Stegostoma tigrinum: one gene and its partner. The protein of the gene in region 1 purifies or fractionates together with the protein of each later gene. This does not show direct contact. Links are inferred from orthologs where the notes say so. Each region holds a gene or a part of one and is shown in the gene's direction. Other genes may lie near its edges.

Region 1 (15,131 bases):
GAACACCCAGATTGGCTCATTTGGCACGCAGTTCTCCATGCACTTACTAACAAAGTCCATGGCAATGGTGGTGTATGGTGCTGAGGTCTTGAACATGGAGCAGTCCTCGGATTCCAAGCACTCCTGAAGAAGCCATTCCACTGCCTCAGATGAGCAGTGTACGAGTTTATGAGAAGGGTCCTCCTGTTTCAGCTACTGCTTGTAAGCTGGGAGGGGAACACAGCATCGTGATCTGATTTTCCCAAGTGTTGATAGGAAATGGAGTGATGGGCTTCTTTGATGGATGCGCAGCAGAGGCCCTGGACTTTTTATCTTCTCGTGAGACAGATGTGTTGGTGGTATTTTGGCAACACCCAAGGTTGGATTGGTTGAAGTTAGCAGTCAAGATGAATACTATCTTGGTGAATTTCACCTTCATAGCATTTGTAGCTGTGTAAATTTCATCCAAAACACTCTTCTTATCCACATGGGGCGGTATGTAAATTGCTGTCAGGATGGTGAAGGTGAACTCGTGTGACAGATATTTGGGTTGGCATTTCACTGTAATGTATTCGAGGTGCGGGGGCTTTCTTCCTCAACCGAGGATTTCGCAACAGTATAATTGACTAGCTCCTCAGCTGGGTCCACCTCATTTTCCCAGCTTCAGCCTTCAGCCCCTCTCTTTCCTCCCACAACAGTGACAGGGTCTCCTAGTCCTCACCTACAATCCCACCAACGTCCACATCCAGAGGATCATTAGCTGCCCTTTCCATCACCTCCAGCAGGATGCCACCATCAAACACATATTCCTCTTCCCTCCATTATCAGCCACCTGCAGGGACCATTCCCACTGGGCCACTCCTCTTCCGTTGCAGCACGTTCCCAAAGCCTCACTTCACATTCCCCTGCAGCTGCAGAAGGTCTAACACCTGCCCGTTTACTTCCTCACTTCTAACGACTGAAAACCTCAAACACATCTTCTAAGTGAAGTGGTGTTTTACCTGCACTTCACTCAATCTCGTCTACTGCATTCACTGATCACAATGTGGTCTTGTGGGAAACATTGGGGAAACAAAGGGTAGGCTGGGTGACTGCTTTGCAGACCAACTACATTCTGTTCACAAAAAAAACACCTGCTTGCCACCTCAACACACTACCATGTTCCTTGGCCAACAGCTGTCTCAGGATTGCTGCAGTGCTCCAGTGAAGCTCAGCACAAGTTAGAAGAATAGCGGCTCATTTTGTGCTTGCGAACTCTGCAGCCTTCTGGAATTAATATCGAGTTCAACAGTTTAAGGTCTTGAGCACCGTTCCCCATGCTTTCCTCTGCCCTCATAAAGTAGGCCATGTCATCACATGGGCTGCTACTGCAAATTACCCATTGTCAAACACTAATAGTCTCCATTAGCAACTTTAACCACTCTCTTTGTCTGTTTCTTTCTCTTTGGGTTCTATCTCTGCATACTGTTTACTCTCACCCCCTCCTCCCACCCTATCTTCTGTAATAAAGAACATCCTTTACTTCATTACTATCAGAGAAGAAGGGTCACTGGACCTGAAATATTGACTGATTTCTCTCCATTGATGCTGCCAGACCTGCTGAGATTTTCCAGCAGTTTCTGGTTTTGTTTCACACCTCCATCCTGGAGAAACTGGATGTTTAGGGCCCCTTTAGGGCCTGTACTGTGCTGTAATGTTCTATGTACATAAACAGCGACAGGCCAAAGATAAGACAAGTTGAGCAAATGTCAAGGTGGACTGGTCAGAAGGCAACTGTAATTGAGGTAGAGTCCTTTCATCAATTACTGTATTGAAAACATGCTTAAACCTACACAAAAGCATTAAATAAGTACTCAAATATTTTTTAAAAAGCCACACACCATCCAAAGATAGTAAGAACTGTGGATGCTGGAGTCAGAGATAACACAGTGTGGAGCTGGAGGAACATAGCAGGCCAGGCAGCAGCAGAGCAAGAAAGTTGACATTTCAGGTTGGGACCCTTCTTTATACGACATACCATCTGAAAATCTTTTAAAGTTACCGAGCACCAGACTGAAGAGCTCCCCTAGTTCTTGATTCCTCTAGTGAGCCATGAACCATACATTCTGCAGGAGCTGGCCCAGCTCCATCAAAATTGCATGGCGATCTGAATTGCCCATCCCTCCAATGGAGTTGACTAGGTTGGAAGTGTTGCACACAAGCTCACTATCAGTAACGTTGTTGAATGCTGACAAAAAAAAATGCAGCATGTAGGAATGGGGCTGTAAATCTTTGAATGGAGGTCTGCTCACCTTGTACCTCCATTCTGAAAGGTAATTTGGCCGCAAGCATAATGTGTGGAGTTAAATCACATAAGTCTTCATTACTTACGTAGTACCGGACATTAAGAATGGTGTTCGAACGCCTTCAACGAGGACAATATTTCTTATCCCTGGTTTTGCTAGAGTTTTCTTAGTGGTTGACTGCACTGTTGGACAGAATTTTAAGCCAACATAAACTTATGTTACTAAAACTTTTAAGAGTGAAATATCAAGTTAACAAGTAAATGTATGCCAGTTATGAGGAAAATTGTTCTGAAAGCACTGTACCTTGAGGCAGAGGATGAGATACTGAACTCAACAAACGTGCATCTAGTTTCAAAAGAACAACAGCATCAATAACCACACATCTTAATTGTCTCTTCGCAAACATCAGAACCTTATATTCAACTGCACGATTTAAAAAAGTCTAACAAAATAGCCTCAAGAATCTTGGCATTTATTATTTGATTAGGGCTGGGAATCTGAAATTTTCCACCAACTACCAAGAAATACCCTTGTTTTTAATAGATCAAATGCTTTTGTATCAATTTTACTTGAATAATCTCACAATACATTTTGCAGCAAAATAACCAGATTGGTTAATTTAACTATTAATTGGCCCTAAAATCCTCTTATTAACACTTTCATGTTATTTCTCAGCGTTCTGACATCGAACTAGCCCCTTCTTCCTAAGACTCCTGGTCACTCTGTCTCACCTCAACTTTCCCACAAAATTTGCTGACATGCTGCTTCCAATCCCAATTCGCTCACCTGTCTTTTTCCCTTCTCTCCATCCCACATGGTCTCAGGATAGGGGCACTGAGAGGGAGGAAGCCAGGAGGGAGAAAGGTAATCAAGGGAAGCGGCATGCGGAATGACCAACAAGTGGGCCACAGAAAAGACAAGTGTTAACACAACTTCAGGATCCAGGAAGTGAACCAATGGATTTTGTTAACTGATGTGACCCAATTAATCATGACAGGTTTGTACTACATCTGTAATTTCTTGGTATGGGGAGTTTGCCTGCATTTTGATCATACAATCGGCTGGCAGTAAACTCCATTTTGCTACAAAGATGAGCACAGCAGCGATAATTAAGTGTATAGCTCTTCATGGATTGTTGCACAACCATACAGCTTAGATGGAACACTGCCATATCGTGGTGGGAATCTTAAAATTAAGGTGCAGCTTAAGCAAGAGGCAGCGTAGGTCAGTGAGTATACAGGTGAAGGGTGGTCAGTACTTGTCAAGTTTGAGGACAACAATTTAGATACCCTCAAGCTTTTGGATGGTAGATTACAGGAGACCACCCAAATATGCATTGTCAGAGTCAAAATTACAGTAAAGAAACCATGAATGAGGCTTTCAGCAGATGAGCAGGGATAAGAGCAAACTCAGGCATGGTTACATAAGTGCTACTAGTTGGCCCTTCGTGTGGATGTGGCTATGTGGTTGGTGCTTATTTTTAGGTAAAATGAAACAGCAAGATTATGAACAGTTTCATTTGGTCTCACTTTTACCAAGAAAAGAACACAATTCAGAGAGAGGAAATGGAATTTGGAGTGGGGAATGAAGACGATGGCTTCAGTTTTTATAGAATCCCACAGGCCATTCGACCCAACAAGTCCACACTGACCCTTGGAGCATCCCACCCAGACCCATCTCCTGTAACCCAACTCATCTGCACATCCCTGGACACTATGGGCAATTCAGCATGGCCAATCCACCTAGCCTGCACGTTTTTGACTGTGGGAGGAAACTTGAGCACCAGGAAGAAACCCATGCAGACACTGGAACAATGTGTAAACTCCACACAGTCACCTGAGGCTGGAACCAAACCTGGGTCCCTGGCACTGTCAGACAGCAGTGCTAACCACTGAGCCACCATGCCACCGCTTTTCACAATTTATTCAGAGGAAATTTCTAAATATAAGTATTTAAATCTCATTGTAGTAAACATTGTTGCAGTTGTAAATCACTGAAAAAAACAGGTAACCTTTATATTACACACTTAACATCCTCAGAACTTAGGATTCTGATCATTTTTGATTTTTCAGACTAATAAACATTAATATCAAAAGAAGCATTAATAAGATTGCCACATCTTTGCAATGGTTTTCCTCAACTGATAATAACTGACATAACAAGTCACAAAATTACATAAAAACTCTATCGCGAGACGCGAAATAGTTGATACAGAATACACATTACATAATGTAATATATCTCCTTTTTTTCCCCACATAGCACAACAGTTTGACTTTACGGAAGCAGTGGTAGTGGGGGGTGGGGGAACCTATTCTCACATTTTAATCATGTCTGCAAAAAGGGGATCACTTGACCCTCTCTATGCTCTCCACCAGCAAAGCATCTAAAGCCTCCCTTTCAGCATAGCGATTGGGAACTCTTGAGTGAGTTAAGGTGAGCCTACATTCTCTTGCTCAGTGGTTTCATATATTAATGCTCCAGGCGGTGCCATCGTTGACTAAATCAGATAGTGCAACAATAAGGATTCCTGAACGAAGTATAATACAAGGCCTCAACCCAGCTCCTGGCAAGTAAAACAAAACAGAATTCGAGTAGATAGATGCTTGAGGATCCAATTGGACAAGATGGGCTCAAGGGCCTCTTTCTGTGCTGTAATACTCTTATTTATTAAGATAGAAATAGGCTCATTTGTAAAGTGTTTATATAAAATGGGAGAATCTTGCAGTGATCCTGATCCAAAATGGTTTATTCACTTTTGAATATATTTTTCCCCAAAATGTCAATTTTTGGAATTACTTTTAGGCTTTTTAATCAAGCCTCCGCATTTTGGATGGAAAATTAGATTATCGTTCACATTTTCCTTTCATACCTAAAATAGGAGCACAGACAAGCATGGCACTACCCCTACTATTCTCCCCGTTCTAAACTCCTTAGCATGGAATTTTAGCAAGAGATGTAGTCATCTGGTTAACAAAATCAGTGATGGTAGGATCTTGGTGCCCAAGAAAAGATATCAGCAGAAACTGGCAGTTAAATCTCATTAAGAACTGTTGTTTTGGAAATGAATATATTGCAAAATAGTATTGTTCACATACTTACTTAACTTTGCTGCGCACGCCACACTGATTGGGATATTTCTGAACGTACGACCCAACATGGAAGCCATGATTAAAAGGTTAATTTCTAATGAAAGAAAGCAAGTATGATCAGGGCAAAGTACTCAATAATCTAAAGAAGTCTATTTTTCCCCACCAGGAACAATTTGAGCAAAATGCCCAAGTCAATTCCTGGATACATGACATAGGATCGGATCAAGTTATTGTAAATATTGGAATTTGGACTGAAGACTAAAGAAATAATGGAAACCACAGTAAGGCAGTCAGTATCCATGGTGAGACAGCAAGCTAATTTTCAAGTCTCGATGACTGTTCATCAGAACTGTTAGATTCGAAACACAGGTTTGCTCTCTCGCCACAGATGTTACCTGATCCGGTGACTTCCAGCACTACTTCTTTTCAGCCTGGGCACATAACATGACATTAAAGGAGACAAGGATTGCCATTCCTACATTGCTTGGTAAACATTTCAATGTCGCAGCTTTAAAATCCCGAGACATTTCATCTTCACAGGAATGCCAATACAGACTACCCCCACCCAGTGTTGTGCAAATTGGGGATTCCCAGTTGGAACATCAATTAACCTCACACTTTTGAGATTGACCACATGTTTTTAATCATGCTGCAACCATGATGCATTATCAACACATAACCAAACTGTTAGGAAGAGTTACATGATGAATATGCATTACATAAAACACATTATTAACACATTATAAAGTTAGTTAACCACCTAAATAATTAAAAATGTATTGGGAAAGTAAACCAGCACTTGACATTTTTTAAAATATGTGGCAAAATTGTCTAAGATTATCAAGCACCTTAGCAGTTGCAAAGTCAGTTTTGTAACGGTCACCTCATGAGTGAAAACATTTAACATTGGTCATGCAATATCCTATTACATAAAAGAAGCTACGGAGCACAACATTTACATTAAATGAAAACAAAGTGGAAAACAACTCGAAATTTCCAGTCGCTGGAAAAATTGACAGCCTGACACATAACGATCAGACTTTAAAGTACTCAGTTACTCTTGTTACATTGGAATAGCCTGTACAATGACATTCAGGCAGAAGGTTTACCATTTGCAAAGAACGTTAAAATAGAAAACATGACAAAAAAAATCAACCGATGACTGACAAATATAACTAAATAAGAAACGGTCGGAGCCCATGCAAAGGGTCAAAGCTGCGTAGGCTCGTAATTCGGATATTCTTCGGTGAGATCAATAATGTAACGCATTAGGACGTACTTACCACTGCCCTACTGATCAAAAAGGGGTGGGGGGGAAGTTACTACATATAATCGATTTTCAAAGTCCTGGGCGAAAAATTTGAGCGCAATACAATTGATTAACAGAGCTGTAGTTCTGTTATAAGACTCCCAATGAAACTATCAGTGTAGATACCGCTGCTCATAGGCACCTTTCAGGCCCAGTTCAACAGTCGCAGCGGCAAGGCCAGTAATCTGACGCAACAAGGAAAGTTTAACAGACTGAAATGTGCAGCGTCGCTTCACGGCCCGGCCCTGCACGTCGGGGATGGAAAACCTTTCCCTCCCTCACCGAACTCAGCCGGCCCCGCTCTCGGTCTACATACAGCTTCTGCATCAACAACTCATCGCACTGTTTTAGAGAAGGGATTTCCACAACCAACTCCCGCACTCTGGGCCTCCCCTCTCTCGCGCCCGCCCCCGCCCCCCGACTGCACTCTGGGCCTTAGCCTTCTCCCTGTCCCTCTCCCCCACCCACGCCCTCCGGGCCCTCTGTCTCCCCTGCCCGGACTCTGTCGCCCTCCCTCCCACTCTCTCTCTCTCACCCCGGATTCTGGGCCCCATCTCTCTCTTTCTCTCCATACTCCAGATGAGGAAGCTGAAGCCCAGTAGAACCTAAAAATGTTGATGGCAACATTTCACCCACATCTGAATAAACACTACCTGTAACCGTAAAGCCGATCAATGCACGAAATCAGTTTCTGGAGTTGTAGGCGATAGAACGAGTTGGGTTTTGTCGCCGGCGGCAGGTTGTTTTGCTCAGGGAGAGGGGCGGTTCACCCAATAGCGGAAGTGGGGAAATGGAGGAGATGGGCGGGTCTGAGGACGGGGCCTGACGAAGATAGGCAGGTCCGGGGGCGGGAGCGAGTTAGAGACGGGCGGGGATAACACAGTCTGGGGCTGGATTAACACAACAGGCCCAGCAATGTCAGAGTAGGAAAGCTTGGCGTTTTGGGTCGGGAACCTTCTTCAAAGAGTGGCTGTTTACCCAATGGGCGGGTCTCAGGACGGCGGCGGAGTGATAGGCGGGTCCGGGGGCGTGGTTTGGCGGGGCTCTCTGACCCGAGCTGGAGCTGGAAATAGAAATGGCGGCGACTCGGGCGTACGGCAAAATGAAGCTGTTCTCGTTGTTTAGAAAGTTTTGTTATTCAGGTACTTCGTTGTGAAATATTTCTTCATGTGAATTTAAAAGTTTCAGTGGTGGTAGCTAAGTAACTTTATTCTGTCCTGACAAATATTCGGCCTAATCAGAGTGAGTTCGTGACCAAAGTTGGTAATTTCTAGAAATAGGCCGTTCATTGCTGGTGGTGTCTACTTTGTGTCATTTAATTCATTTAATGTCGTCTGGGTAGTGAACAGTAGGATTGCACTGTTTGCTATGAGCCTGGATTAGAAATGCGCTTCCACGCACATACCATTTAATAATCTATATGGCTAAATTACATCCGTACGGTAAACCCTCAAATTTTTTTAAAAAAGCGCTCGGTATTTTCAATCAGAAGGAACCTGATTGTTATCAGTTTTAAAAACAAATATTTCTCGCGTACTAAAAACAAGCTGCTGGAAAGACTTAATGGATACGGCAACATCTGTCGAGATAGATCAGTTAAAATTTCGATCCTCAGGCCTTTGGAATTTATTAATGATACCTGTCTCCAAGGAATGAGTCTTGTTTTGGTTTAATCTCTGGTGTTCGATTTGGTGAAGGTGTGCTTGGTGCTAAGCAGACAGATGGCTCGAAGTAGGGGATGAATATTTGCTTAGGAACCCTGTCTTTGCTGAACTAATTTACACACTAGATGAAATGTACACGTTTTAGTGTCACCTGATTACTAGTTTAATTGTTAGGTTGCTTTAGTCAATACCAACATTCGAGTCAGAAAGTTCTGGATTCAAACACTGCTCCTCAAATGAGGCACAACATGAATAAATAACCTCTTCTGAGGAAGTGTCACCAGACCCGAAACGTTAACTGTTTTCTTTTCTGCAGATGCTGCCAAACGTGCTGAGCTTTTCCAGCAACATATTTAGTCAAGAACAAAAAACAAATTTTTGATATGCATTCTCTATAAATTAGATATGAAATGAAAGACTGGCCTGGTTCATTTGTATATTATACCCATGTTTGGAAAGAGTAACAGCCATCCCCTCTACGTCCCCACCATCCAAGCTATTTTTCCATCCCCACCCTTCTCTGCCTTCCGGAGAGATCACTCTCTCCACGACTCCCTTGTCCGCTCCACACTCCCCTCCCACCCCACCACACCCGGCACCTTCCCCTGCAACCGCAGGAAGTGCTAGATTTGCCCCCATACCCCCTCCCTCACCCCTATCCCAGGCCCCAAGATGACCTTCCATATCAAGCTGATGTTCACCTGCACATCTGTCAATGTGGTATATTGTATCCATTGTACCCAGTGTGGCTACCTCTAGATTGGGGAAACCAAGCGGAGGCTTGGGGACCGCTTTGCAGAAAACCTCTGCTCGGTTTGCAACAAACAACTGCACTTCCCAGTTGCAAACCATTTTAACTCCCCCTCCCATTCTTCAGATGACATGTCCATCATGGGCCTCCTGCAGTGTCACAATGATGCCACCCGAAGGTTGCAGGAACAGCAACTCATATTCTGCTTGCTAACCCTGCAGCCGTATGGTACCAATGTGGACTTCACAAGCTTCAAAATCTCCCCTTCCCCCACTGCATCCCAAAACCAGCCCAGTTCTTTCCCTCCCCCCACTGCAATCCAAAACCAGGCCAGCCTGTCTCCACTTCCTTGACCTGTTCTTCCTCTCACCCATCTCTTCCTCCCACCTCAAGCCGCACCTCCATTTCCTTCCTACCTACCACCTCATCCCACTTCCTTGACCTGTCCGTCTTGCCTGCACTGACCTATCCCCTCTCTACCGATCTTCTTTTCTATCCATCTTCGGTCTGCCTCCCCATCTCTCCCTATTTATTCCAGTTCCCTCTCCCCATCCCCCTCTCTGGTGAAGGGTCGAGGCCCAAAACGTCAGCTTTTGTGCTCCTGAGATGCTGCTTGGCCTGCTGTGTTCATCTGGCTCCATACTTTGTTATCTTGAATTCTCCAACATCTGCAGTTCCCATTATCACATCCCCTCTACACTTGGCTGACCCTGGATTTCAGGATGATTTCTTCTGTGGCCCTGAGTTTCTGTTTTGTCTTAGTGGACTGTACAGGCCAAACTCAACCTGAAGATCTTTGAGCATATAGGACAGGATGCTCCATGAAGTATTGGCATTGGAAATGCAGGAATTCTTCCACTGTTTCCCCTCTTCAGTACAGCTGTTCTGCCATGATGCAGCTTGATGGACAAGTTTTTGCCATTTTGAATGATTAGTGGCAAGCTCCTCTCATTCATTAATTGGAGTGTTGCCAAATTTGAGGAAAAATTTGAGTAAATTGTGGCATTCCTTTTGTCCTGGCTGCAACACTATCCAACTAAGAACTGAGAAAGCAGGACCTGCTGATGAAGTCACTTTTCAGTCATCCAAACATGCTGTCTGCTCCAATTTTTCAATGAGTTTTAGCAGACTGTTTCAAGTAGGACACTGATATTTGTTGATTGATTTCTCAAGTGAATACAGCATATAGTGGAGGCATTCCTGATAGAATTTCTCTTTTGATATTATGTATTGCTCATGTAGGTGGAAATTACTGAAAATGCTCAAGATTTGAGATTAAAAACCAAGCACTGGGGGAACTCTAGGTCTAGTAGCATCTTTGGAGAGAGAAGTTACCATTTCTAGTCCAATTTAACTCTTTCTGCTCAGTTTCTCCAGCGTTTTACTTTGGTCGCTTATGTGTTGTTGATGCATGATCTAGGATGCACTGAAGTACGCAAGTATTGTGACAACCGCACTGTGCATTGAACCTCTGACTTGGGGAGATCTTTGTTGCCAACAGCTGTCTGCCATAGTTTGTAGAAGGCTGAACTGGTGCAGCTGATCCAGTGTTGGGTCTCTACATCAGTCTCCCCTTTGATGAGGGATGATCGCAAAGGAAGTAGGCTGTTTGGCCCTTTGAACATACCTCGCCATTCTAGAGTGTGGCTGAGCATCTCTTTTAATGCTGTTTTCTAGCATAATCCTGTATGTCATTATTCTCCAGAAACCTATAGATTTCTGTCTTGAACCTGCTCAGTGATTGAACAAAATATTGAGATTCTTTCATTTTTAGAAAGTGCAATGTTTGATTGACTAAGCCTGAGTCCTTAGGATAAAAAGGCAGATGTTGGCCATCTGAATGAAAAACAGAAGTACGAGAGAAACGAGCCATCTGACAGCACCTATTGAGAGAGAAACAGATTCAAGTTTGACTGAGTCTCTGCTATACAGAATTGACAAGATGAGTGGTTTGCGAGTCTGGTGCAGAGTGAGCAGCAACACTATATTCAGCTGTATATTGTTGGTCCTGTATGTCTGTGCTGCGCAGTTTAATTTTGGCACAGTGGCAAAAGAGGTAAGTTTTCGTCTCCAGTGGCATTTGCTCACACCAGAGGACATTTGATCTTAGAACTTACTCACTGCAGTCTGGTAGATGGCACATCGTGCAAAAGCAGCCACATAGCCTTCTTGGCATTTTGGATTTTGATGGCATTTGTTTCAGAACCTAACTCAAGTCAGTTGAAGTCAACGTTATGCAGCAGATGCAGAAATGTGAAGAAGTTACTCAGACATCAATCTTTGGAGAACAATCCACACCGTTTACTGAATCAAATGCTCTGATCAACGTCAGAGATATTTCCCTCCCCACCCATGTCTGCCTTTCGTAGAGACCACTCACTTGGTGATCCCCTTGTGCACTCCACACTTCTCATCAACCGCACCACACCTGGCATCTTTTCCTGGAACCATAGGAGGTGCTGCACCCGCCCCTAAACCTCCCAACTTGCCTCCATCCAATGCCCAAGACATATTTTCCAAATCGGACCTGAGTTCACCTGTACGTCCTCCAACCTGGTCTACTGTACCATTGCTCCCTGTGTGGCCTCCTCTACATCATTGAGACCAAGCACAGATTCTGGGACCAATTCATGGAGCATCTGCGCTCTGTATGCTATAATCAGTAACACCTTCCGGTTGCCAACCATTTTAACTTCCCTTCCCACATGCAAACTGGAAGAGCAACACCTCATATTCTGCTTCGGGAGCTTGCAGCCCCATGGCCTGAACATAGAATTCACCAGTTTCAAAATTTCCCCACTCCTCTGGCCGCATCCCATATTCACCCTCCCTCTCATCCCTGCATCCTTGACATGACACAACCTGTCCATCTTCTTTTCCACTTGTCAGCCCCACCCTCCTCACTGACCATCCCCACTACCCACATCCATCTGTCAACATCCTGACTATCTTACCCCAGCCCCACCCCTCCTCTCTCTCTTTTTCCCGGCTCCCTTCCCCCTCCTCAGTGCTGATGATGGGTCCTGAACCAAAACATCAACTTTCCTGCTCCTCTGGAGCAGAGTGACTTACTGTGTTTCCTCCCTCCACACTGTATTGACTCTGATGTTTATGCTGCACTTATCCCCTCTCATTCTATTTACCATGTCTCAGTCAAGCAATATATTTTACTATTATAAGATAACAAGGTGTGGAGCTGGATGAACACAGCAGGCCAAGCCACATCTTGGGAGCACAAAAGCTGATGTTTTGGGCCTAGACCCTTCATCAAAATGTCATTTTGCAGCAGTACAGGTCATTGGTGAGTCCACTTTTAGAATATCGTGTACATTTTTTCTCTGATGAAGGGCCGAGGCCCGAAACATCAGCTTTTGTGCTCCTGAGATGCTGCTTGGCCTGCTGTGTTCATCCAGCCCCACACTTTGCTATCTTGGATTCTCCAGCATCTGCAGTTTCCATTATCTCTGAATATATTTTACTATTCCTTTTTTCTTTTATATGCTTATGTCATTTGCAGTATCCAAGTTATTGGCCTCATCGATGCTCTGTGATAGTGAGTTCCAAATTCGAACTAAGCCCTGAATAAAGAAATACCTCCTTGTCTCTGTAGAAATCATCACACCTGAAGATGTGCCATGACTCCCCATGAAAATTAATTCCACTGCCCTTATGAATTTGCACGTAATAAATTGCTAGTGGCTAGAATCAAGTTCTTTTTAATATTGTAATGTTTAATTATATTTCTATTAAAAATCAACGTCATCTTGGCTGATTGCATGTCAAAATATTAACCTTTGTATTGTGCTGCAAATGATAGCCCATGAGCCAATCACGTGTGCTGCGTATTACTGGGATGACAGAGGAATGAGAACGGAGTCCAATGCAGAAGTGAGAAATAAATGAAGAAATAAAAGGAGTGAAAATTGGAGGGAAAAACTATTTCAACAGTTCACAAATTAAGGGGTTGACTGCTATTTTTCCTAATATATCAAAATCACAAATGCATTGTGCCAGCTTATGGTTGGTTGCCTAAATTCTCATCAGATCTTGAAAAGATGAGTCTGTCAGCAAATAGAATAATTCCATAAAAATCCAAGACCTTTTTCTCACTTTTGCAGAGCATACGGTAAGGAAGTTAAATTGTACTAGCCATATTTGAACCAAGAACACAGGATTGAGCAATAAACAAATAAACTGCAGGCAAACAAAGGAATTGAAAGCAACTAATATGAAAAAGAAATTAGAAATCGTAAGGAAAAGTAAGGTAACACTTAAGTAGTGATAATGGGAGCTGCAGATGCTGGAGAATCCAAGATAATAAAATGTGAGGCTGGATGAACACAGCAGGCCCAGCAGCATCTCAGGAAGCACGAAAGCTGACGTTTCGGGCCTAGACCCTTCACGTTCTTACAGACTGACTTGTGACTCTGGTCATTGGAAAGGATAGACTCCAAGATCTGCCTTCTGCCAAGTTGATACTGGACCTCCTGCATGACCCTTGGCGTTGTCTGCTAGCTTTATAGCAGCCTTCCCAGTAGACAAACATGTTGTCCATATCAACCAACGTTTTTCTCGATTCTGCTGCACCTGATCTCTCCTGTGAGTCCTCTGATTCAGAACTTGTGTGATGTTGTCCTCTGTTGGACTGGAATTCTCACTAACCTTGCCTCGTTGTCCATATCTGCTATTTTATCACATGGAGATCCTGCCTCATAAATTACACACATCTCAGTATCTGATCCTCCATACCTTTCTCGTTGGTAAAAACTGACAAGAAATATTCATTTAGGATCTCACCCATCTCTTGTGGCTCTGTACAATAAGCTTGTTGATCTTTCAGAGAACCCATTGCCTTCCTAGTTACTCTTTTGCCCTTCATGTATTTGTAGCATCTCTTTGGATTCTCCTTTATCTTATCTGCCAATGCCACCTCCTGCACCCTTTTAACCCTTCTCGTTTCTCTCTAAAGTATCCAACACCCTCTAAACTCCTGAAGGAATTCACTTGATCCCAGATACCTGTACATGTCATATGCCTCCTTTTTTAAGACCAGGGCTTCAATAACTCGAGTCATCCGGATGTCTCTGATGGGTCTAGACCTGAAACGTCAGCTTTTGTGCTCCTGAGATGCTGCTGGGCCTGTGTGTTCATCCAGCCTCACGTTTTATTATTAAACACTTAAGTCGTCATGGGTTATAGGATTTTAGTGAATAAATTAAATTGACTGCCAGTGTATTGGCAACAAATGTACCTTGTGGATGAGATTGTTTTGTTGGGATCCTGATGGTCTGTTTGAATAGTTCGTTTCTGTATCAACAGATGTCTTCTGTAAATAAATCCACTGAATATTCACCGAGCTATTTCATAGAATCCATACAGTGTGGAAGCAGGCCATTTGGCCCATTGAGCCCACGTCGACCCAGCAAAGAGCATCACACCCAGAACCACCCCCTACCATACTTCGGCACTATGGGCAATTTAGCATAGCCAATCCACCTAACCTGCACTTCTTTGGACAGTGGGAGCAAACCCACACAGACATAGGGAAAATGTGTGGAGTTTGCACAATTGCCCGAGACTGGAATCAAACCCCAGTCCCTGGTGTTTTGACGCAGCAGTGCTTACCACTGAGCCACAGTGCTGCCAATACTTTGCAAAGTGCCCTGTTTGACTATTTGACATCCTAAACTGAATCCATTTCAGTGTTGAAAAATCTTTATCTAACATTTTACAATGATGTCAGTTATTGTAAATATTATCAAAAATTTAAAAGCTGCTTTAGGTACAAAAGAACTTAATTTCATTGCTTCAAATCCCAAGAGGCTGCATCTCAGATTAACTTTTAAATAGCTCTCAGTTTGGGATGTGTATTTGTTATATATCTAGTATGTATTCTATAACTTTGACAAGTTTAATATTTCCAAATATAAGAGATGTTCAATTAATGTGATATTTCCTCTTGAATCTCTCAGCCAGGAAATGATGCAGGGAGAGTTTGATGATGGTTGAGGAAAATAAAGGCTAATCTGAAAATATTAATTGGTTATAATGA
Region 2 (15,563 bases), on another chromosome or scaffold:
GGTCCTTTTTAAACCTTTCCCCTCTCAACGTAAACCCATATCCTCAGTTTTTGACTGCCCTTTCCTGGGAAAAAGACCTTGGCTATTCAGCCTATACAAGTATCCCAGAAGCCTTGTTAATCACCTTATCTACCTGCCCTGCTGACTTCAGGGATCTGTGGTTATGCGCTGTAAGGTCCTGTTATTCATCAGAACCTTCATTTAGACTCTTGAGCTTTGTCCACCATTCAATAAGATGATGGCAGATCTTATTTTGTAACCTCAAATCCACTTCCCTTCCTATCCTTGATAACTCTTCAACTCCTTACTTAATAAGAATCTCCCCAATCTTAAAAATATTCAAAGATTGTTCCTCCAGTAACTTTTTTAAGATCAGAGTTCCAAAGACACATAGCCCTCTGGGAGAAAATGGTTCACCTCATCTCTGTTTAAATGGATGGCCCTTGCTATTTAAACCGTGACCCCCAGTTCTAGATTTTCTCATAAAATGAGACATCTAACCTATTAAGCCCCTTCAGGATCTTCTACGCTTTAATCAAGTCAGTTCTTGCTTTTCTCAGGTGAAGCTGATACATAAAGTCACCATAATCCCACTCTCCCATTCGACAAAGATGACCAACGGTGAGTTTAATGATCACAACATCTCAGCAAGGTCAAAGCTGAGGAGGTAGAGCCTTCATGGCGTCCTTAGCTTGTGTGGGAATGGAATTTCAGCTTTTGCTTCCACTCTAGCTATAGCTGATAGCCTAGACTGTCCAACTTTCAACCTGCCCACTCCAGTTGGTGGTTAGTCTGCTAAGTCTTCTCTGAACTGCAAATAATGCATTTACATTTTCCTTTAAATAAGGTGATCAATGCAATACACAGGAGTCCAGATTGCTTTAACTAGTGCCCTTTATAACATCCCTATTTTTGTAAAAAATTCACCTTGTACTATGTGATAGCATTCTAGTAGCTTTCCTAATTACTTGCTATACCTGTATTCTAATCTTGCAGGATGCATGCACAAGGATACCCAGATCTTTCTGCACCTCAGAGCTCTGCAATCTCTCACCATTCAAGCAATGTGCTTCTTTATTATTGTTCCTTCCAACACGAATAATTTCACAGCTTCCTACACTATACTCCATTTGTCCAATCATTGCCAACTCACCAAATGTACCTACATCTTTTTGTAGCTTCCTTATGCCATCTTCATATTTGCTTTGCAACCTGTCAGCAGCAAATTTAGTATCTATAGCTTACATCTGTTCATTGAAGGTATAAATTATAAACAGTTGAGGTCTCAGCACTGATCCTTTGGCATGCCACTCATTACATCTTGCCAAATTGAAAAGAAAATTTATGCCTACTTTCCGCTTTCCTGTTAGCCAGCCAATCTTCAATCCATTGTCAATGTGCCCGACCCTCTAAATCATGAGCTGTTGTTTCCCACAATAACCTTTGATCTGGCAATTTATCAAGTGGCTTCAGGAACTCTAAGTACACTACATATAACAGTTTCCTTTTATCCACAGTGTTGCTTAGAGTCATAGAGATATATGGCACGGAAACAGACCCTTCAGTCCAACTTGTCCATGCCAACCAGATATCCTAAATTAATCTGGTCCCATTTCCTGTCACTTACCCATCCAAACACCTTTTAAATGTTGTAATTGTACCAGCCTCCACCACTCCTCTGGCAGTTCATTCCATACATGCACCACCCTCTGTGTGAAAAAGCTGGCCCTCAGGTCCCTTTTAAATCTTTCCCCTCTCACCTTAAACCTATGCCCTCTAGTTTTGGACTCCCCCTAACCTGGGAAAAAGGCCTTGGCTATCACCTTATCCATGCCCCTCATGATCATATAAACTTCTGTAGCGTCACCCCTCAGACTCCGAAACCCCAGGGAAAATAGCCCCAGCTTCTTCAGCCTGACCTTGTCGTCCAAACCTCCAACCCCAGTAACATTCTTGTAAATCTTTGCAGAACCCTTTCAAGTTTAACAAGATCCTTCCTATAGCAGGGAGACCAGAAGAAGTCCAACAGATTGGTCAAACATGATTTCCCTTCGGTAAAACTATGCCTGATTACTTGTACTTATGTAAGTGTATGACTATAATCTCTTTAAAATAAATTCTTACACTCCCCCCAATGATACACGTTAAGCTGAACATTCTATAGTTTTCTGCATTCTGTCTCCCCACTTTTACTTGACTGAGCCTTCAGGGTTCTTGGAATGGCCTGTCCTACTGATTTATACACATTTATATCTCTAGGTCAAATTGTTCAGAAGGATTGTTGTTCACTAGCAATGAGGACAGGCTCACCTCTCTCTACAAGTTCAGAAAGATCTCATAAAATCAACCTGAAATGAACCATGAAACCTCTCCCCTTGCAGATGATGTCGGACTTGGTGAACATTTCCAGCATTTTCTAATTTTGTCTTAGATGTCTAACATCTGCAGTTTTTAATATTAACTTGCCCAGTAATTTTACCTCAGTCAAATCACTTTAAACCCATTATCTTAACACTTTGCTTTTTGTGAGAGCTAACTGTGTGTATATATTGGCTGCCACATTGCCCCACATTGCAACAGTGATTGCAGCAACACTGAGAAGAGCTTATTTTTTCTGGATAATATTTTGGGATATTCTGATTGTGGAAGATGTTATGTGAAAGTATGTATTTCTTGAGACATGAAGGTTTGCTACTTGGCTGGGCTATTAAAGGCTGCTGTTGTCTCTCGCAGTATCCTCCAAATGGGAAGCGGTGTTGGATGACAGAAAACTGTCAATGGAGTGGGTTGTAGTGAACAGATAACCAGTCCAATGTGTAACTGAAGAGTTAAAAATGCAATATACTCATGCAACAGGAAAAGAGTTAACTGTACCAAAGGCAGGAGCCCACTCAACAGTTCAGGCACCAGCTGCAGAGATAGGAACCTCAGCCTTCCTGCTCCTCTGATGCTGCTTGGCCTGCTGTGTTCATCCAGCTCTGCACCTTGTTATCTCAGACTCCAGCATTGGCAGTTCCTACAATGGCAGAGATAGGAGCCACTGGCTTTTCGCCAGATTTGAACTAAATTGAACTCCTTCTTCTGGGAGTCTAATACCTTTGCTTTCGATGACATTGTTCTAGTAGCTTTCAGAAGGTGGATTATGCGGGGATTCTGCTGCTTGTCCACGGCACACTAATTTTTGTTTCTGTCAGGAGTCTCTGTGACTTTTCACCATCTTAGTGCAACTTCTGGCCTTTGGTTTGCTGGTGGAATAACCATTGTAATGGTAGAACTGCCCACTCAACGTGACAAAGAAACTAAGAATTAAGTGGGCACACACAGTTGACTTGTAATAACTACATACACCACAAAGCACAACACTGAAGAGCTGCTGACTTACTGTCATCCAATTTTATTTGTTAAAATCAGGATCTACCCCAAGGTCACCTCGTTAAGTGTTTTCTCCCCAGTGAGATCAGCTATCTCAGTAATGGTTGACCATGGTACCTTGGATTTGGGAGCTTATGAAGTTTATGAAGAATGATTGGGCAGACTTGTTCTCTATTCACTGGAATCAGGAAGAATATGAGGTTATCTTATTGAAACATTAGGGCCTAAGATGACATATGAGGCTTCAAGGTTATGGGCTATGTACTGGAAAATGGAATTAGAATAGTTAGATAGTTGTTTGTGACCAGTTCTTTTTTTCGATGGGAAAAGAGCATTCTTCCGTGCTGTAGACCTCTATGATTCTATGATATGGTGGATGCCAAAAGATGTTTCTGCTTTTACAAAGATTTTGAACCTTGCTTGGAAGTCTGGATCCGTCAATTAAGATTAAAATGCAGAGGATTTAGGCAGAAGTAGATCAACGTTTAACTCACAAAGCAGACAAAGGGTATTGAGAATATGCAGGAAAATGGAGCTAAGTGTGAAATCAGATCAGCCATGTTCTTGTTGATTGGTGTACTCTTGTTCCTAATGTATCATTTTCAGTGCCATCAACATAGGCTTCAGTCATAGAGGCATCACTTTTCCCCTTTTACTTTGGGCCACTTACAACTGCAATTCCATCTGGTTTCAGGTCTTCCTCCTCTGCTTCTTTCAGGTAGGCCCAACTCCATCACATTTCCTCTTTCTCTCCACAACAGATGGCCATACTCTTGTAATGACTTTTCAGCTGGCTTCTTTGATGGTCTCACAATCTGATACCCGGATGTGCTGATTCTCGATCTTGTCCTTTCTTGTCACTTAGAGTTGTAGAGGCACACAGCATGGAAATAGACCCTTCAGTCCACTTGTCCATGCTGACCAAGTTTCCCAAACTACACAAGTCCCATTTGTCTGCATTTGGCCTATATCACTCTAAATCTTTCCTATTGGTGTGCCTTTCCAAATATCTTTTAAATGTTGTAACTCCACCTGCACCTTTCACTTCTCGTGGCAGTTCATTCCACATACAAACCACCCTCTGTGTGAAAAAGTTGCCCCTTCACTTTATCTATGCCCCTCACAGTTTTATAAACATCAAAAGGTCACTTCTCAAACTCCTACACTCCAGCGACGCTCCAGTCCAGTGTCAGGCATTTGCTTATAGCTCAAACCCTCCGGCCCCAGTAACATCTTTGTAAATCTTTTCTACACACTCTCCAATTTAATAACCCACTGCTCACATTCATCTCAGTACTTGCATCTCATGAGTGTCCAGTCATGGTTTCTCTCCTGCAGATATTGTCCAAATTTCATCCATGTCCCCATATCCTTTGATCCCTCTATCTTCAGAACCATATCTGACTTCTTTTTGAAAACATTCAATGTTTTGGCCTAACCTGTTTTCTGTGCCAGAGAATTCCAAAGGCCCCCAACTTTCTGGGTGAAGAAATTTCTCCTTGTCTTAATCCTAAATGACCTTAAAATGTGACTCCTGATTCTGGACTCCTCAGTTGTTGCAAACATCCTGTATCTACTCTGTCTAGTCCTGTTGGAATTCAATAGGTTTCTATGAGATTTATGAGTCACTAGGAGTGGTAAGACCTGCTGGAGAATGATGGCTTTTCTGCAGATGGCTTATTTTCAGAAGATTTATCTTCAGATTGACGCTTTTTCTAAATGTGGGCCTGGGAAGAAAACCATCTCTTGAAGTATACATTGATAAAATTGGCTCTCGATGTAACCGTAGCCCTCATACACAGAATTTGTGGGCAAATTATTTTGATGAATCCTAATCTAAACATTCTCCAACCAGATCAGCTATGATCTTAACAAATGATGGAGCAGGCCCTGTCTGCTTCTAATTTGTTCATTTGTATAAAATAGTGAAGGAAATGAAAATGTTAATTTGTCATGTTACATCAAATAAAATTTAAAGAACAGGGCAAATTGAAACCTATATTCAGTAAATTTAAAATGTTATGAGGAAGTACTTCATCATACAATGAGTAATCAATGCTTGATTCAAATTCACTTTCTGATCAAGTAAAAATGTAGATGCATGCACAGTCACATTAAAAATACGTTTGGCAAGCATATGAACAGGAAATGCTTGGATGGGTATGGGTTGAATGCATGCAAGTGGGCTAGTTTAGTTTGGGAGACTTGGTCAGCATGCACGAGTTGAACTGAAGGGCCTGTTTCTGTGCTGAATGACTATGTTACAAGGCTAGTCTCATGACTGTCTTTTAGACTGTTCATTTTCAGTGATATATGTTTTGTATCACTGCACTTCAAACACAGCTAGGAACAAAAGGCATGTTGTGCTTTTCTGACAATAGTGTCTACGTGGGTGGATCAGGATCGATTGTCAGTGATAGCAAACAATTCATGATATGGAAGTGTAAACATTCAGCCTTCTAAATAACCCAACACATACATACATAAACACTACTGGTAAAGGGAAACAAGAAAATTGATTTCTCTGCAGAGATTCACTTTGGGAAAAGAAAACTTTTGTCCAATAGCTGTTAGTTCTTGAAGGTAAAAATGATGAGGTGTGGAAAGTTCAGATGACATTCATTCAGATATTCTGGCATGTTAACAAGAGTCTATTCATCTACAGTCGTCCCTGGGATGTTTGCAAATGTTTCAGGAAATATCAAGACAAACTCCTCAGATGGTTCTCATGAGATCAGGTGAATCTTGAGTTCCAGTACCACAATGGATGCACTTTTTTTTGTTTTTCAGAAACAGGAGAGCTGATCTGGGAAGCTTCTTTCCTTCAGCAAGCTAAAGGACCAATACCGAATCCGAAACATTGAAAATGCAGAAACGAATTCACTGGTGATTAAAATAAACCCAGACAGGTGTCCTCCACCATACAAGTCCAGCAATTTGTTGAAACCAGGAGGTTTCCACGAAATGCCTGACTTTAAAAACATGTTCCAATGCCTAAAGAGAACTTTTAATGAAAAACTCAGTCCAGGTATTCGCAGATGATGAAATTGATCCATTTTTTTCCGCAATACTTAAAGATTCCCATCCTTAAAAACATTAACTGTGAAGCACTATTTGGAGCTCTTTCTGGCAAACATGACGGACAACTTACATCGCAATTTCTGAAAAGTGAGGCAGAGGCGGTAACCCAATGGTTTACAATGCAACTGTTTTACTGTCTAACTGTAATGGTTAATTACTTTCAACCTCTTTAAGGAGTGGAGATTGTAAAATTCTTTCTATTTGAACCGTGTTTTAAAATTCATATCCCTAAAGCAGATCTTTTGTTCAGAATGGCAAACTCAGATCTCCGAAACGTCCTGTTCATTCCTCCCACCTAAAGGCAGGCGTGTCTTTTATACTTGATTGTTTTGCCTTCACAGACAGAGGAGTTGATGATAGGTATTGTTTTGACCTGCAGGAGTGGCAATGTGGAAGCAGTACACACAAAGACCAGACCTTAGTAGTCCTGTTCCAGCTCAGGGGCGATAGGTTAGAGGTTGGGAACCCAATACCACGAAACCCTCCTTTATCAATCCGACTTGAAATCTTTTCCGGGGCCTGGTTATCTCCGTAACACAATTGGCAAAAAGTAAGCAGTAGACTCAGTCAAAAGGCTATTTTAGTGGCTCTCCCACTTCCCCGCACATCACTGTGGGAATAAGGAATTCTTTCTCTTGAAAATTGCAATGCATTTACAGACCAGGTGAACAGTGCGTTTGAATTAGGATCACTTGAGTCCATTCCCCGTTGTAAATTTGAGGAGGTGTGTGGCTGACAGGGTTAAATGAATGGAAGATTCATAAAGGCGGACAGACACTGACACACACAGGGACAGCAGTGCACACTTGCTCACTGGCACTCTGATGGGAGGATAAGAAGACATTCCTGCGGCTCACCGACAATGAAGAGAAAAAAGGGAGGTGATTGACAAAGCCAGGGGCCGTCTTCATTGGTCCCAGACCGCGTCTGTCGTAACATCCTGCTAGAGGTTTTGGGGGTGGAGTTGGAAAACTCAGTAAGGCATCGTCTGCACAGAGAGAGACAGAGGTAGGAGGTGGGCACTCTGTCTCTGTCTGTGCCAGGTCGGACAGATTCTTCACATACACATACACACACACACCTTCTCCAACTCTCGAGACTCTTCATCATACATCCCGAAACTACTACAACCGGTAACAAACTCATTGGGGGAGAGAAGGAAGGGCAGAATTGGAATTAAGAAGAAGACTCCCAGGATTGTGTTCATGTATTTTAGAAGTAGCATTTGTTAATTGTATTCCTTTGTGTGGTCTGTGGGCTGTGTTTTTTTTTAACTGAGTCATTAATGAACCCGTTTGCATCGGCAACTACAGAAGATAAATTGAAATTCGCGTTTCTTTGCTGAAGATTGTAAGTCACAAGCCAGAGAGAGAGAGAGGTGAACAAAAAAAAGCAAGAGTCGGTTGGAATTCCTTTCCTCCTGCAATTGACTTGGGGAAACTTTTGTTTGGATTACGTTGATCCCAGTTTCTTTTGAAAACTCGATTTTGGATTTTTTTGTGTGTCTCCTGTGCAAACAAAAAAAAACACACACACACTCAGTTCTTGATTTGGTTGCACCGTCCTTGCGAAGATGATGTGGATTTCGCTGTGCCTGGCTTTACTGGGACTCCTTCCCTCCCCTGTTGTGGGAGACCAGAGACCCAAGACCTGTTTGGACATGAGAACGCTGTACAACTCCAAAGGGTTCTCGGTGACCGCGGTGCCTTCAGCTGAGATCTCGGGTAAGAGGGGAGAGGGGTTGGGGGAGAGCTGGTAAAGGGCTCTCTCTTGCCTGGGGGATTTGTATATTTTGGAAGCTACAACTAAAAGACCTTCAGAGAGGAAAAAAAGGACACTAAAATATAGAAACTAGGATGGAAATTGCATTGAGATTGTTTCCTAGCTGACGAGACAAGAAATGTATTGTGAGAACACACGTAAGGTCAATGCATGACTTATTTAAGGTTATGATCATGTGTGTTTCAGTCTCCGTGATGTTTAAAACAATGCGGGTTTTTTTTGAAAGGAGGGTATTTGGCGTGCGTTTTTTGGATGAGGGCACTGGGAAATCGCTGAGGGTCGACTGGTGAAAGAAACAGAGGATATTGGAAGCGAGCAGGAGCCAGAGCTCTTTGTTGGGAATGTGTAATAACATTACCCAATCCCCTAGAGAGAGAAAAATCTAAATGGACTGGGTCTGCTCTGTCCAGTGTGGGAACAGAGCGCTTTTAGGGGCGTGAGCTGGACCCTGGGGGCGACATCCGAAGCGTACAGTGAATCCCCAAATCCCACACTTTGAAAAGTCAAACAATGGCCTTATTTTTAGCAGCAAGGAATTCCCCTGTCTTCGCATGTATATGTGCATGTGTGTGAGCATTCTTTGCCAGAGAGCCTTTTGTTTGAGAATGCCTTGCTCCTTTTGCTGGTTTGTTGAATATGCCAGCTGAGAGTTGGCACGGTGTGGCCATCCTCATGCTGCGTGTTGTGTGCGGGGCGATGAACGAGCGAGAGATTTCCCTGCGGCCTCCAGCGGGAGCTGATGGCAGGGCTCTGTCTGTTTTTGCTGGGGGCTGTTCTTGTCAATGCTGCTGCTGTTGGGGCAGACCTACCTCGGTTCCCCCTTGTCCCCCAGCCCCGGGCCTTCTAAGCTGATGAGACTCAAGGACAATAGCAGTGACTGCAGAAAGATAACTGCCGTGTTGTTTGAAGGGCATGTAACTGTTGAGTAGTTTCCTGGCTACTATTTATTGGCACTGGAGGAGGATACACTTCAATATGGATTGCTCGTTTTTGAGGGGAAATGGGAAGATTTGAAGAAAAGCAGCAGGTTGTTTTATTCACCCCAGATTAAATAAAACAGAGGACTGGTGCATTCCCTTCCAACAAATTCTTGCTATTGCTGTGTAGTTCAACAGAGAGCACTTCTCACCCAGTGATTCCCTGGAAAATTTGTTTGTTGGTGTCGCAGTTGCCTATTTTGTCGCCTTGTCCAACGAGATGGGACGTTGGGTATGCCGTTCAGCGACAGGGGCATCGCAGCTCCCCCTGAGTGCAGGCGTTGCTGGACCAGAGCAGCCCTGGCACAACTGAGCTCCCTACCCAGCCCCCGCTTCCGTAATGCAGCGAGCGGCGGTGACCTCCTGTCGTGTTTCCTCCCCCCGATCGGTAAATTGCTGCTGTTACCCCTGCACTGTTTAAGAAAGATCGCCAATGGTTAATGCCCGTCAGTTAACCCTATACTGGCCGCTTCCTGGCTTGCAAGTGCACCCTTGTACACTTTGTACCTACCCACTGAACGGCTGGCAACAGCTTTAGCCTCCGCTGCTTGTAAAAGTTCCTTAGGCATGAGCGACCATCTAGGGAATTGAAGGTCTTCAGAACAATAGTTCATTGGCTATCGGCACTTTGAGAATTCCTGAGAGGGTAAATAGGATTGTATCACTAAGTCTCCCCTGTACTCTTATGCACTTGTTATTCTCTGATTGTCGGTCCCCTATTATACACCTTTTGTTTTCATGATAACCCGTTGTAACAAAGGATCATCTCCCATTCCTAACATTCTGCAGTCTTACTGGTTCACCTTGCACTATATAAATGCAAGGCACTGTTGAATAGGCAGAAATTGGTTTGGTTTTTCCTGGGCTCATTGTGAATTCTTGGGAGTTTATGATAATTCCGTTTTCCTAATCAGACTCCCTGACGATCAAGAGATAGTAGGAACTGGTAATGCTGGAGAATCTGAGATAACAAGGTGTAGAGCTGGATGGACACAACAGGCCAAGCAGCATCAGGGGAGCAGGAAGGCTGACATTTCAGCCCTAGACTCTTCTTCAGAAAAGGGGGAGGGGGAGGGGAGGGGGTTTCTGAAATAAAAAGGGAGAGGGGGGGAGGCGGATTGAAGATGGATAGAGGAGAAGATAGGTGGAGAGGAGACAGATAGGTCAAAGAGGCAGGGATGGAGCCAGGAAAGGTGAGTATTGGTGGGGAGGTAGGGAGCAGATAGGTCAGTCCAGGGAGGATGGACAGATCAAGGGGGCAGGATGAGGTTAGCAGGTAGGAGATGGAGTTGGGGCTTGAGGTGGGAGGAAGGGATAGGTGGGAGGAAGGACAGGTTAGGGAGGTGGGTCGAGCTGGGCTGGTTTTGTGATGTGGTAGGGGGAGGTAAGATTTTGAAACTTGTGAAATCCACATTGATACCATTGGGCTGCAGGGTTCCCAAGCAGAAGATGAGTTGCTGTTCCTGCAACCTTTGAGTAGCATTGTTATGGCACTGCAGGAGGCCCAGGATGGACATGACATCTCAGGAATGGGAGGGGGAGTTGAAATGGTCCATGACTGGGAGATGCTGTTGTTTAGTATGAGCTGAGCGTAGGTGTACTGCAAAGCGGTCTCCAAGCCTCTTTGTAGGTTATGTTGAACAGTCCCTCTTCCGTACCTACACTGGCCCTAAACCCCACCTCTTCCTCCGTTACATTGACTGTATCGGCGCCACCTTGTGCTCCCACAAGGAGCTTGAACAGTTCATCCACTTCACCAACACCTTCCACCCTGACCTTAAGTTCACCTGGACCATCTCTAATACCTCTCTCTCATTCCTGGACCTCTCTATTTCCATCTCAGGGCAACCACCGAGAAACTGATATTCATTTCAAGCCCACTGACTTTCACAGCTACCTAGAATACACCTCCTCCCACCCACCTTCCTGCAAAAAGGCCATCCCCTATTCCCAATTCCTTTGCCTCCGCTGCATCTGCTCCGGAGATGAAGCATTCCACTCCCGGACAAAACAGATGTCCTCGTTTTTCAAGGACCATAACATAACCCCCCACCCAGTGGTGGATGACTCCCTTGACCGTGTCTCACTCATTTCTCACAACTCATCCCTCACACCCCCTGTCCGCAATAACAACCAAAACAGAATCCCCCTTGACCTCACATACCACCCCACCAACCGCTGGATCCAATGCATCATCCTCCGACACTTCTGCCATCTGCAGTCCGACCCCAATATCGAAGACATCTGGAGGGACCACTCTCTCTGTGATTCCTAAGTCCGCTCCACACTCCCTCCAGCCCCACCATACCCGGCACTTTTCCCTGCAATCGCAGGAAGTGCTGCACCTGCCCTTACACCTCTCCCCTCACCCCCATCCCAGGCCCCAAGAAGACTTTCCACATCAAGCAGATGTTCACCGGCACATCTGCTAATGTGGTATACTGCATCCGCTGTACCCTTTGTGGCCTCCTCTACATCGGGGAAACCAAGTGAAGGCTTGGGGACCGCTTTGCAGAACACCTATGCTTGGTTTGCACTAAAACAACTGCACCTCCCAGTCGCGAACTGTTTCAACTCCACCTCCCATTCTGCAGATGACAGGTCCATCCTGGGCCTCCTGCAGCGCCACAATGATGCTACCCGAAGGCTGCAGGAACAGCAACTCATTCCGCTTGGGAACCCTGCAGCCTAATGGTATCAATGTGGACTTCACAAGCTTCAAAATCTTTCCTCCCCCTATCGCATCCCAAAACCAGCCCAGTTTGTCCCCGCATCCATAACCTGTCCTCCCACCTCAAGCCCCACCCGCATCTCCTACCCACTAACCTCATCCCGCCCCCTTGACCTGTCCGTCTTCCCTGGACTGACCTAGCCCCTCCCTACCTCCCCACCTACACTCACCTTTACTGGCTCTAACCCCGCCTCTTTGACTGGTCTGTCTCCTCTCACCCTACCTTCTCCCTTATCCATCTTCTATCCACCTCCCCCCCTCTATTTATTTCAGAGCCCCCTTCCCCTCCCCCATTACTGAAGAAGGGTCTAGCCCCAAAACGTCAGCCTTCCTGCCCCTCTGATGCTGCTTGGCCTGCTGTGTTCATCCAGCTCTACACCTTGTTATCTCTGACGGTCAATGATTGTTTTTGTGCATGATCCTTTACCTGCATCTCCTGCCCCCACTACATTTGCCTTCTGCCCAGCATCTCTTCTCTGGCTGATCTTTTCCTCTGTCAGCTCACATGCCCCTTCCCCACCGTTAACCTTCAAGCCAACCCCTCCCCTCACATTTTGCTCCTTCTGGCCTGGTTGCCCTTGGTATCGGACAGGTGTTCGCTTTCCAATCCACCATCCGCCCCTCCCAACTCCTTTTCCGTGCATGCATGCATAGTTTTCCTTCTTTAGCTCTCCTCTCCTCTCTCCCCTGGTCCTAACCATGACCACCCCACCACATGCCCAAACCTCACTTATCTGTTTCCATGCGTGGGGTAGGGAAGAGGCCTTGTATGGGCAAGAGGGATTGTGTTGGCTTGGTGGGGTAACCTGAGCATGGAGGGATATATTGTGAGGGCAGAGGAAGGAACTGTGGGTTGTGGGCTTTGAGATGCCTCCAGTGTTCCATCTTGCCTGTGTTGGCTGAAGTGAAAGTGGAATCTGGAAATAATGCCTCATATTGGCATGTGTGAGATTATCACGGTATGTCTTGAATTATTGGGGAAATAATTGTGCCATGGCATTGCTGGGTTATATCAAGCTAGAGAAAGTAACTCTTTGCTCTCTGTTAGCTTGACTGCCTTTTAAGGTTGTCACACAGAGATACAGTAAACAGGTGCCATGTTAGCAGCTCCTGTGTGGTTTTGAAATGGTGTATTGAAGGTGTATAACATTGAGCTAATATTAAACCTCTGACATGGCCTTGAGAATCGTGTATCAGAATTGTTGTCAGTCGGACTTTAGTGATCTCTAGGAAAACAACCACTGTTCTGGGCTATGATGTGGAGATGCTGGTGTTGGATTGGGGTGGACAAGGTCAGAAATCACATGATGCCAGTTTTTAGTCCAACAGGTTTATTTTTCTAACACGAACTTTTGGACCATAGCCCCCTTTGTCAGGTGAAGTGAGCTAGGCTGGTAGAAAGATCCCAGGTTGGACTCAGATGATCTTATTTGGCCAATGGTGTTGAAGTTCTACTCACTGACCCATGGCTCTCATATTCCCTTATTCTGATTCCTGACTGTCACTTCCTCCTCTACTCTCACCAGGCGCAGTATAGCCTTCTAATGGGGCGCTAGCACTTCTGTCAGTCAGTCAGCCTGAATGTGTTGGTATGTTCAAGGTTTCTTGAGGGACACACTCAAAACAAGCAGCATAGGGATTGCCAGCCTGAGGTCCATCGTGTTTGCCTCCTTGTAGCTGTAGGATACAATGTAAACAGAATTTCTTATATACCCTACAACAGACTCAGACTTGAGACACGGAATCCCCAGTGATGGAGCGATTCAGAGCCATTGTTCCAAAGTTAGCTGTTCCTTCTCACCATCCCACTCACCACATGTTGTGTCTAAAATATAATGCATCACAAAATGTTACTTTCATGTTTGTCTTCCATTTGTAACAATTGCATCCTGCTGCATCTAGTGCTGTATTTAAAGAAACATGTTTACACTCTGCTGATAGTACTGGGCATATTAAGTCTGTTGGTAGCAATAAACGATAGGAAAAATCACATGTTTGTTAATTTATTTCACTGCTACGGAGCGCACTTCTGGTGTGATGCTCTTAATTCAACACCTCAAATTGCTCCCATCGCCAGTGAGAAAATTGCCTTGCTCGAATCCCAGTGATGTGTGTGGAGTGATTGACTGCTATTCTGTCACATCGGCACGGAACAGGGGAGTTTTCACATTTCCGATCCCCTTCACAGACACACTGAGTGGCTGGGGAAGGGGTACAGATTTTCATCCACATCATCAGTAGCAGAGATCTGGCAAAGAGTAAATTGTGCACAGCCTGCAGAACTGTGGATTTTTAAGCCATGAATTTCATTAGGCTAGCTCTGTGAGAGTTCCTTATTCCCTACCATTGGCAACAAAGCCCTACACTTTGAACTTCCTTCTCTGAACATCTCTCTCCTCCTGGAAGTTCCATTTCTTTGACCACGTTTTAGCTTCCCTGTGCTTATCCTGCCTGGTGTTCCATCATCCTTATTTCCATCTCTGTGTTGTTAGCATCTGGGGGGATCTTTCAAAGCTAAGGTGCCATGTCAATGCAAGTTGTTTCTTCCACAATCCTGCCTTGAAATTTGAACTGACCTTTTGACTAACTCAGGCTCCCGAGTCCGCTCCTTTCTTCGTTTGCACAAAATAATTATGTGAGCTTCAGCACGCTAATGGCGTCGGTTCGAGGGAATTTAAGAATAAAGATGTTGCCTTTCGTTTTGGCTGAGGAGAAAAGATGGTGTTGCTTTTAATTCAGTCGTGTGTGAATGTTGCTGGTAAGGCCAGCATTTGTTGTCCATCCCTAATTGCCCTCAAGCAGGTCATGGGTGAGATTGTTACTGCCCACTGGATTGTTTTGCTCGAAAAAGGGGAGCCAAAAGGACTTGCATTTATGTAGCAGAGATAGTAGGAACTGGAGATGCTGGAGAATCTGAGACAACAAGGTGCAGAGCTGGATGAACACTATAGGCCAAGCAGCATCAGAGGAGCAGGAAAACTGACATTTCGGGCCTAGGCCCTAGCACCAGCCCTGACCACAAGACATTGGAGAGTTGTTAGTAATCAGTGTTTTACTTTGGAATGTGTTGTGCACAACAAGATTCCACAAACTGCAATAACTGCTAAAACGACCAGATAATCTGTTCTTGATGGTATTGTTTGAGAGGTAAACATTGGTTGGAATGCTCGGCAAACAGCCCATCTCCTCCAATGAGGAAGAATTGATTATTAAGTTGAATTGAATTTATTATTAAACAGGCATTTTTATTTGTTTTTTGTTTCGAGAATTGCTGAGTTTGTATTGGGAAGGGGAGTCAAATTACTCGTGATCATTGAGTCTGTAGTTGAGTCATGCAGTTAATGGGTATGCTTATAGACTCATAGAATGCCTGCACTGTGAAAGCAGGCCAGTCGGCCCATCAAGTCCACACCCGTCCCTGTAACACTGCATTTCCCATGGCTAACCCACCAAGCTGGTACATCTCTGGACACTATGGGCAATTTAACAGGCAAAGCTGCACATCTTTGGACTGTGGGAGGTAACTGTAGCACCCAGGGGAAACCCATGTGAACACAGGGAGAACATGCAAACTCTACATAGACAGTCACCCGAGAGTGGAATTGAACCTGGGCCCCTGG

The links.
Region 2: the proteins of trifunctional enzyme subunit alpha, mitochondrial-like (region 1) and glypican-1-like purify together in Homo sapiens (co-immunoprecipitation; 3 studies listed by BioGRID and IntAct, with this or other methods). This does not show direct contact. The link is inferred for Stegostoma tigrinum from reciprocal best matches to the Homo sapiens genes HADHA and GPC1.

The regions. Positions count from the first base shown.
Region 1 is NC_081357.1:132,090,547-132,105,677, reverse strand, and holds the start of trifunctional enzyme subunit alpha, mitochondrial-like, read left to right. Parts: upstream 1-7,671; 5' UTR 7,672-7,739; coding exon 7,740-7,806; intron 7,807-15,131. Other genes in the region: hadhb (trifunctional enzyme subunit beta, mitochondrial), read right to left, coding at 2,350-2,446, 2,568-2,609, 5,366-5,432. UniProt on the Homo sapiens protein: Mitochondrial trifunctional enzyme catalyzes the last three of the four reactions of the mitochondrial beta-oxidation pathway.
Region 2 is NC_081367.1:8,391,833-8,407,395, reverse strand, and holds the start of glypican-1-like, read left to right. Parts: upstream 1-7,403; 5' UTR 7,404-8,026; coding exon 8,027-8,177; intron 8,178-15,563. UniProt on the Homo sapiens protein: Cell surface proteoglycan that bears heparan sulfate. Binds, via the heparan sulfate side chains, alpha-4 (V) collagen and participates in Schwann cell myelination.